2 linked regions of the Macaca fascicularis genome follow. The protein of the gene in region 1 binds, or shares a complex with, the protein of each later gene. Links are inferred from orthologs where the notes say so. Each region holds a gene or a part of one and is shown on either strand. Other genes may lie near its edges.

Region 1 (4,354 bases):
TACACAGACCTTCCGCCCCCGAGCCTCAGCAGCTGCCGCCCCAAGCTCGGGGCTATCCGAGCTGCCTGCATCTCCGAGTCTCTCCGGGCGTCGCTGGACGGAGCGCTGACCCAGCTCTGGCGTCCTGTACGCCCAAGTCCTGGACCTCCTAGCCCTGACTCATCGTCCAGAGTGCACCGGGCGGCGGCGGTTGCGGGCCCCGGGGCATGCTGGGAGCTGTAGTTCCCTGGAGCCCGGCCCTGCGTTCCGCTGACCTAGGGGGATCTCCAAGCGTCTCTCGTCTCCCCCAAACTCCTTAATCCCGCCCGTCCGAACTAGAGTCTAGTCCTCCGACGGGGTGATGGGATAGGATGGGACAGAAGAGGAAGGGGCTTAAGTCACTGCAGCCAGAGGGATGGAGGTGGACTGAAGGGAGGGCTTCTCCGGTGGGGTTAGAAGAGAGAAGTAGGGAAAGAGAAGTGTAAGGTAGATGGCAGAAATAGAGGCACCGAAAAACAGACTCTAAGGTTCCTGATGAAATCTGTCTCGGCCAACACAAAAGGGAGGGCACGGTGGGCGGGGGGTGGGGGCACCCAAGCTAGGGTGTGAGTGCCCTAAGTGTATTCTTCTGAGACGTAAACCATTTCACTAACTCTTGAAGCAGCTACAGTTTCCCAGTGGGAAGGCCCCGCCAGGTTCGTTGCGCTTCCCTTAATAAAGCCTCTGAGATCTTCCTGAACATTCCCTTCTGTCTCTGCCCTCTGTTACTTCCAGAGACCATGTGCCCAGGCAGATGGAATCCTCCCGGGCCTGAGAGGAACTGCAGGAATTCTCCTGCCTCTTACCTGTGAAACCCCAACTTCTCTAGCCCTAGGTCAGGAAGTTCCAAACAATTTCTACCCCTCTCTCTGCAATTCTCATTGGGGTGAGAGGAGGCCCTGGAGGAGAGAGAGCTGGGGTCAGCTTCTTTTTGAGCTGCTGGAGCCCTCTGTGAGGAGGCCCTCTTTGCTGGCTTCTTAGGAGAGTGTGGCTAGGTTCTGCCTGCCTATGGGGAGACGGGCCAGGGTGTGTGCAGCAAGATGGTGGCGGCGCTGGTGCCTTGGGACCTGGGGGAATGGGACAGCTGGTCGGTTCAGAGATGGCCTACTTTACTCACAGCTGGAATTTAGTGGGGAGAAGCAGCTCAACTCCAATCCTGGAGGATTAGGGAGATTAAAGTGAGAGAAGAGAGAGATGTCCCAGAGACCAAGAGGTGAAAAACAGGGGTCCTTGTGGAGGGGAGGTCTGGGATTGAAGTGGGGGGCTGGGGCTCAGGGATCCTTCTCCCTGAATCTTTCCATAGGGCTTGGGGTGAAGGGCACAGGCTGGGGAGATGAAGTGACAGTGTGTTCGTCTTCCTGTGTTGGCCTCTTCCCTGTCCCAATTCTCCTTGCATCGCACTAGCTCCCAGGTCAGCCCTCTGGCTCCTGGCACCCCCGCTGCTGCGGTGGGCACCCCCCCTCCTCACAGTGCTGCATAGCGACCTCTTCCAGGCCTTGCTGGGTGAGTAGCCCGTTTTCTGAGGGACCTGGGCCTCCAAGGGCTGTCCGTTACTGAACTTCGGGGGCTGTTTGGGAGCCTGGAAATCATTTGGTCCAAGCTGGAGCCCCAAGCAGGGTCATGCCTATGGTGTCCTCCATGAGTGTGGACCAGCCTTGGCTGAAAGGGCTCCTCCCTTGCCAGCCGGACAGCAGCGGTGATGACAGGGGTGATGTGTCTGGAGAGGCCTGGAATGGGGAGGTAACTCAGTTCTGTTCTGTGGCAGACATCCTGGACTATTATGAGGCTTCCCTCTCAGAGAGTCAGGTAAGGAGGTGGGGGCGAGCGCCTTACTTCCTGAGGGGCAGGCAGGGCTGGAGGGGTGAGGCAAATATTGCTAATATTATATGGAAACTTGGGGGCCCTGCAGACGAAAGACTGAGTCGGTGGCCCAGGGACTTGGGGCACCGAGAATGCACTCTCTGTGGTCCTGTACCCCCTCTCCCTTTCTTCCTCCTTTTCTTTGGCTGCCTCAATTTCAGGCACTAAAGAGTCTAAGGCTTTTTAGGTTTCCCCCTGAGAAACCTGAGGCAGAACTAGGCCCCCAGGGATTGCCTCCTGCAGCCCCTCCCTCATACCCGACCCCCTACCGCCTGTCGTGGCCTCCCTCCCGTATTCAAATAACCATGGGTGCTCCCAGCCCAACTATAGGTGCTTCCTTCTCTAAGAAATGAAATCCAGCCTCATCGTCTTTGCTGTCATCGCTGGTGGCTGGCCAGGTCTCCATGTTTGCCTCAGGGCCTCTGTGCTTCTGCTTCTATCTCCTTTCCCATTATCCGGGTTCCTGCCAGCACGGAAGGAGTTAACTCTGCCAAGGCACCCCCCCATTCTGGCTCCTAGCTCCCTCCCTCCCTCCCCCTGCTTCCTCTCTCCTCCTCTCTCCCCTTCCCTCTTCGGCTCCACGGCTCCCTCGGCCGCTGCCGTTTCCAACCCCCCCACCCCACTCCCCCGCCACGGCCCCTAGCCCCTGGCCGTTTGGCAAGATCCCCCCCTACCCCGGGGCTCCCCGAAATCCAGTTCCCCTCCCCCACCCCAGCTCATGCCCCAGCCCCCGAACTCCGGGGCTGCCAGCCCCCGGTGCCCCCGCCCCTCCTGAGAATCGGGGTGTGCTCCCCAAGCCCCCTCCCCTCCATTGGGGAGCCCCTTTTAGGGCCCCCTTCCCTCCCCTCCCACGCTCCCCTCCCCTTCCCTTCTCCAACCCCCTCCTTCCCCTCTCACCCCTCCCCCCATCCTGGCCCCCCCTGCAAAAGTGGGGTGCGGAGGGGGGAGGGGTGAGAACCCACGGAGGGGAGGAACGAAACTCCGATGAAGTCAGAGCCCCTTACCCGCCGCCGCGGCCAGGCCCCCCAACATGGACTGTCTCTGTATAGTGACAACCAAGGTAAGCATGATGGGGGGGCTATAAACTGGGGGGAGGGCATGAGTTTGTGGGGAGGGGTTAGTAGGCCTTATCTGGGACTGGCGTCCCTGGAGTGGCAGCATCAGAAGTAAGATGTATTTGGGGGTCTTAATTTAGTTTTGGGGTTCACATCTGAGAAAATGCTGGATTTGGCCACAGGTGCCCCCTGGAGTGATCCCTTTGTACCTGTAGGGAAATGGAAAATTTAGGATATTCCATGGTTTGGGGGGCCTGGCGGGTTTCGGGGTTCACCAGCGCTGTTTGAGGGAGACTTATTTAAGGAGAAGCCTGGCTCACAAGGAAGTCCTGCTGGTGTATGTGGGAAGGTGGGCTATGCTGGGGGGGTTCCTCTTTCCTCCCCAGGGAAAAGCTGGCTTCCAAGGGCCTTGTCCAGTTTTGGGGGGCTCCTGGCATGGGGGTAAAGGTTATTGGTTGTGAGTGCCTGACTGGTCTGGGGTGTTAGCTGGCAGGGAAGGGGTGGGCCTTCAGACTCTGGAACAAGCATCTCGTGGCTGCATTTAGGGATGCACTCTCAATTTGAGGGAACTGTTAATTTAGGGTTCAGTCATATAGAATGGAGGTAGTTAGAAGTTGTCAGAGGGCTGGGGCCCTGGCATGGGATTACCTGAGGGAATGGACCAGGTGAGGCAAGGATGTGGGGGTATTCCCATAGGAGGCAGAAGATTGCAGCAGCCGAGCTTGCCAGCCTCTGAGGAGGAGGATGAGAGGCTTAGGGAGAGAGGGGATTTGAGGAGGGGGACCGGGTGGGTGGTGCACAATTTGGGGGTGGCCCAAAGGCAGGGGCCCAATGTCCCCATCTCCTCCCACACTGTATCTAGCCCTGGTCAAGAAAGAGGGAGAAGAGCAGATGGGGGGACTGTTCCAGATACCCCTGACGCTTGGGATCAAGATGGGGGAGGACACCAGGATTTAAGGGTCCCTGAGGACTTATGACCGAGGGTACTGAGGTTACCGGGGTGAAAAGGTGTAGGAGGAGGGCAGGGCTGGCAGCGGTGGGGATCTGTGCAAGAGTGTCCCTCTGGTTGGAGCCTGGCAAAGGCAGGAGATCCTGGATGGAGCACAGGCGAGCTCCTGGTGGGATGCGGATACCTAGGCTCTGCTTGGAGACTCTGGGACTGGAGAGCTGGATGCCTGGTGTGTGGAGGGAGGCTTGGGCGGGTGGCAGGCAGCTGGGGGCTGGGGGGTGGGACAGGAAGTGGGGGCCGGGGGAGGCGGGGTCCGGGTGAGTCACAGGCTGGGGAGGGGGTTATATTTAGTGGGAACTGCAGCTTTTCATGGGAGGGAGCTGAGGACACACATGTTCCCTGCCACAAACTCACACATGTGTGTACACATGCATTGTGCACGTGTGAGGATGGTTGGAAGAGATTGGGGGCT
Region 2 (3,648 bases), on another chromosome or scaffold:
CCCGCCACTTACTGACTGGGCTTGAAAGTTACTTACCCTTTCTGAACTTTACTCAGTCTTCTCATTTACATGATGGATATAAATTAGAACTGACATCATGAGGTTGTTTAATAAGATCAAATGAGATTATACATACATGTTTCAGCAAACTAAGTGCCTAACTCATAATAATCACTCAATAAAAGTTGGTGATTTTTGGAGAGAAAGAAGAAATACTGAGATTTAATTAAGAGAGTAGAAATAATGATGATGACAATGATGATAATGATGACAATGATCCTTGGAGAAGCAGTTGTTTTGCATGAGCAACACATTGTGTATAAGTAATATAATATGTACCTGATTGTTTTTTTTTTTCTTCTTAATTTTCAGTGTGCACCTAATTGGCCTATTGGTTTGGCAATGCGATATTTCTGTCAGCCCAGTAGCAGCTATAGTAACTGACATTTTCAATACCTCCGATGGTGGACGCTTCAAATTCCCAGACGGGGTACAAAACTGGCCAGCACTTTCAATCGTCGTAATAATAATCATGACAATAGGTGGCAACATACTTGTGATCATGGCAGTAAGCATGGAAAAGAAACTGCACAATGCCACCAATTACTTCTTAATGTCCCTAGCCATTGCTGATATGCTAGTGGGACTACTTGTCATGCCCCTGTCTCTCCTGGCAATCCTTTATGGTAAGTACAATTTTATTCACTTTTCAATCTCATATAAGGTTATAAATTGCTGTCATATTATAGTAAACACTCATAAAGTTAATTATTTTACTTGTAACATTTGGAAAAAGACAAAAGCAAATTGTGTGACAGAAGGAGTTGGATGTATGTATCATATTTATTAAATAAATCAGTAACAGTCTTCCAAAAGCAAAACAGACATTTTGTAATATATTAAAATCATACATAGATGCTCTCCAGCTTAGTGTCTTTGTAAACAGTGAATGAACAGTTAGTTGCCTTACAGTATACCAAATGGGACAGTAACAGAAACATCTTTCAAGCCCTGTGTTCTGGGCAGTACACATACCTACTACCATCTCCGATACAAAGAAGGAAAACCAGGCTCATCCTCTTTAATAAATATATTTTAAGAAATCCTTTTTAAAGCTGCCAAACTAAGTGCTTGACACAAAACAGGCACTCGATAATAGCTATTCTTCTTGTTCATGGAGTCTATAATTTCTGTTATTACAAAGAGACAAGAGATAGCAAAATTAATTAGTAAGTATTTAAGTGCAAGTTCATATCATCACTTTAAAAATTCAGGCATTGAAAGTTTCAATTGATTTTAAAGAGGTTTTTAATTTTTCTTTTGATTTTCTTCCATCCCTTCATTCTGGTCATTTTAACCTAAGGTTTCATTTCCAGCTAATATTTATGATGAACAATCAAATTGTATACACAATTCTACAAAGTATGTTTACTAGGAAGTTGGAAAGCCCAGTTTGAATTTAATTGCTAATATGCTTATCTCACAAAGGAGTAAAATAGACTTCCAGTTGCCTAGAGTGTATAATGAAACTAGAAGAAATAATATTGAAAGTGTATCTAGTTGTCGAATCCTAAAAGAAAATAAATGCATCTAGAAAATAATCTCTCATGAAATGTAAAAATTAATTAGCCTGTTCTAAACCTGCAGCAATAGTAGATTATCTTAATAGGCATTTCATAAAGTGTTCTCAGGAAATATGCTTTTCTTATTCTTCATCAAGTTTCAGTGATGCATTAGCCTTAAAGCACCAGTATTTTATCTGCTCAGTGGGCATTTTACTACTCTATTGCTCCAAAATTAAGAAAAGATTACTGGAATGAAGTGAAACTGTGATTTAGAAGGTATACTTTGTTCTGTGGTGTCTGTTTTGCCAGCTTCTCCCTTTTAAAAAATGTGAGTGGCCAAATAATAGTATTAGCATAAATCCAAGCCTCTTAACATATCTATTCCCCTGCCCAAATAAACAAAGAACAATATAAAAAACAATGAAACTACACAATACCACCATTAAGTGTGGAGAACATTCAAATTTCAAATTACCTGTAAGTAGAAAAACAAACAGGAAATAACATTGAACTATCTATTAGGCTTCTACCCCATGCTGTTGTGTAGAAGAGTAGTCTAGGAAAAATAGCATGAAATAAACTAGAGGAAAGCTATTAGGAAGCCTAAGATTGATCGAAACTCACCGCAAGTGGCCAGGCGTGGTTACTCGCGCCTGTAATCCTAGCACTCTGGGAGGCCCAGGCAGACGGATCACTTGAGGTCAGGAATTTGAAACCAGCCTGGCCAACATGGTGAAACACAGTCTCTACTAAAAATGCAAAAAAATTAGCCAGGCGTGGTGGTGGGTGCTTGTAATCCCAGCTACTCCAGAGGCTGAGGCAATAGAATTGCTTGAACCCGGGAGGCGGTGGTTGGTTGCAGGGACCCGATATCACACCACTGCACTCCATCCTGGCGACAGAGCAAGAATCCATTCAAAAACAACAACAACAACAACAACAACACAAGCAAGTAAGTCTACCCCAAGTGTGAAAATACTGAAACGTTTCTCTAGAAGGTTAGCCTTTAGATAAGGTACTGAAAAGTATGCATAAGACTCAAGAAAGCAGCATTAGAAAATTAATTCTTTGGAGGTAGAAAAAAGTAACAAAGAAAGCAAGAGGTGACTTGAAAAAAAAAAAAAGCACAGTGAAAATAAAAAGAAGCAAGAGGGGGAAATTTATCATCTCACAATACGGAAAATGCCAAAATATTAGGGCCCATCATCCCTCCCTCTACTGTCTCCCACTGTCCCCCAAAGACCCTCCAGTAAAGAAACCATACTTTGATACACAAAGAGAAGAGGATGCTCTTGAGCTTGGAATTTTGGAAGCTACCTACAAACTGCCAGTCATGTTCATAGAAATTCTGAGATGCAACCAATCTTCATCTATACCAAGGTACTGTAGAAAGAAATCAGAATATGAGAATAGAAAGAAGGCATTTGATGAGCATTCCCTCCACTAAAGAATGATCAAGCAGAAGAATATGCTAGCAAAACACTTCAAAACAATATCTTCAAACAAGCACGTTAAGGTATTAAAAATGTACCTTGAAGTAGTAATCTAATAACTCAGAATAGAAATGGTCAAAAAATAGGACAACATGAAGCAAAATTAACTGAATTCAGGACAAATAAAACAGAAGAAAAAGACATCGTATCAGGAATGAACATGAAAAGCACCCAACAAAGAATTGATTCATATGAAACTTAATAAGGAATATAGAAGAAAAACAGGTTAACAAAGAGAATGAAGATGAGACAAAGAAAGAAGTAAAATACGTCAGAAAGAGAGTGGTTGAAATGAAATATCAGCAAAAATGATCAAATGTATGTATGAGAATTCTTGAAAAAGAACAAATAGTAAAACATAATTAGTATTTAAAACTATAATCCAAGAATGTCCTCCAGAAATAAAAGAGAATCTGAATCTACATATTGATAGGTTCAACCCAGTGCTAGAAAACTGACCTGAAACAATGAACTCAGAGATAAATCTGTGACATTGGATTTTCAATATAAAGAAAAAATCCTCAGGGTTTCCAAGCAAAAGGAGGGAAAATTTTACAAGAGCAAGAGCATTAGACTGGCCTTACTTGTCA

The links.
Region 2: the proteins of DLG4 (region 1) and HTR2C are in contact, whole or in part, in an NMR structure (PDB 2MHO), measured with the Rattus norvegicus proteins. The link is inferred for Macaca fascicularis from reciprocal best matches to the Homo sapiens genes DLG4 and HTR2C. Residues at the interface, in NP_062567.1 of Rattus norvegicus: Gly74, Leu75, Phe77, Ser78, Ile79, Ala80, Asn85, Pro86, His87, Ile88, Thr97, Lys98, His130, Val134, Leu137, Lys138; in NP_036897.2 of Rattus norvegicus: Val452, Val453, Ser454, Glu455, Arg456, Ile457, Ser459, Val460.

What each region holds. Positions count from the first base shown.
Region 1 is NC_088390.1:7,264,701-7,269,054, reverse strand, and holds the start of DLG4 (disks large homolog 4), read left to right. Parts: upstream 1-1,521; 5' UTR 1,522-1,638; coding exon 1,639-1,824; intron 1,825-2,417; exon of another isoform or gene 2,418-2,908; coding exon of another isoform or gene 2,909-2,938; intron 2,939-4,354. Other genes in the region: ACADVL (very long-chain specific acyl-CoA dehydrogenase, mitochondrial), read right to left, coding at 10-71. UniProt on the Homo sapiens protein: Postsynaptic scaffolding protein that plays a critical role in synaptogenesis and synaptic plasticity by providing a platform for the postsynaptic clustering of crucial synaptic proteins.
Region 2 is NC_088395.1:121,112,612-121,116,259, forward strand, and holds part of HTR2C (5-hydroxytryptamine receptor 2C), read left to right. Parts: intron 1-372; coding exon 373-686; intron 687-3,648. UniProt on the Homo sapiens protein: G-protein coupled receptor for 5-hydroxytryptamine (serotonin).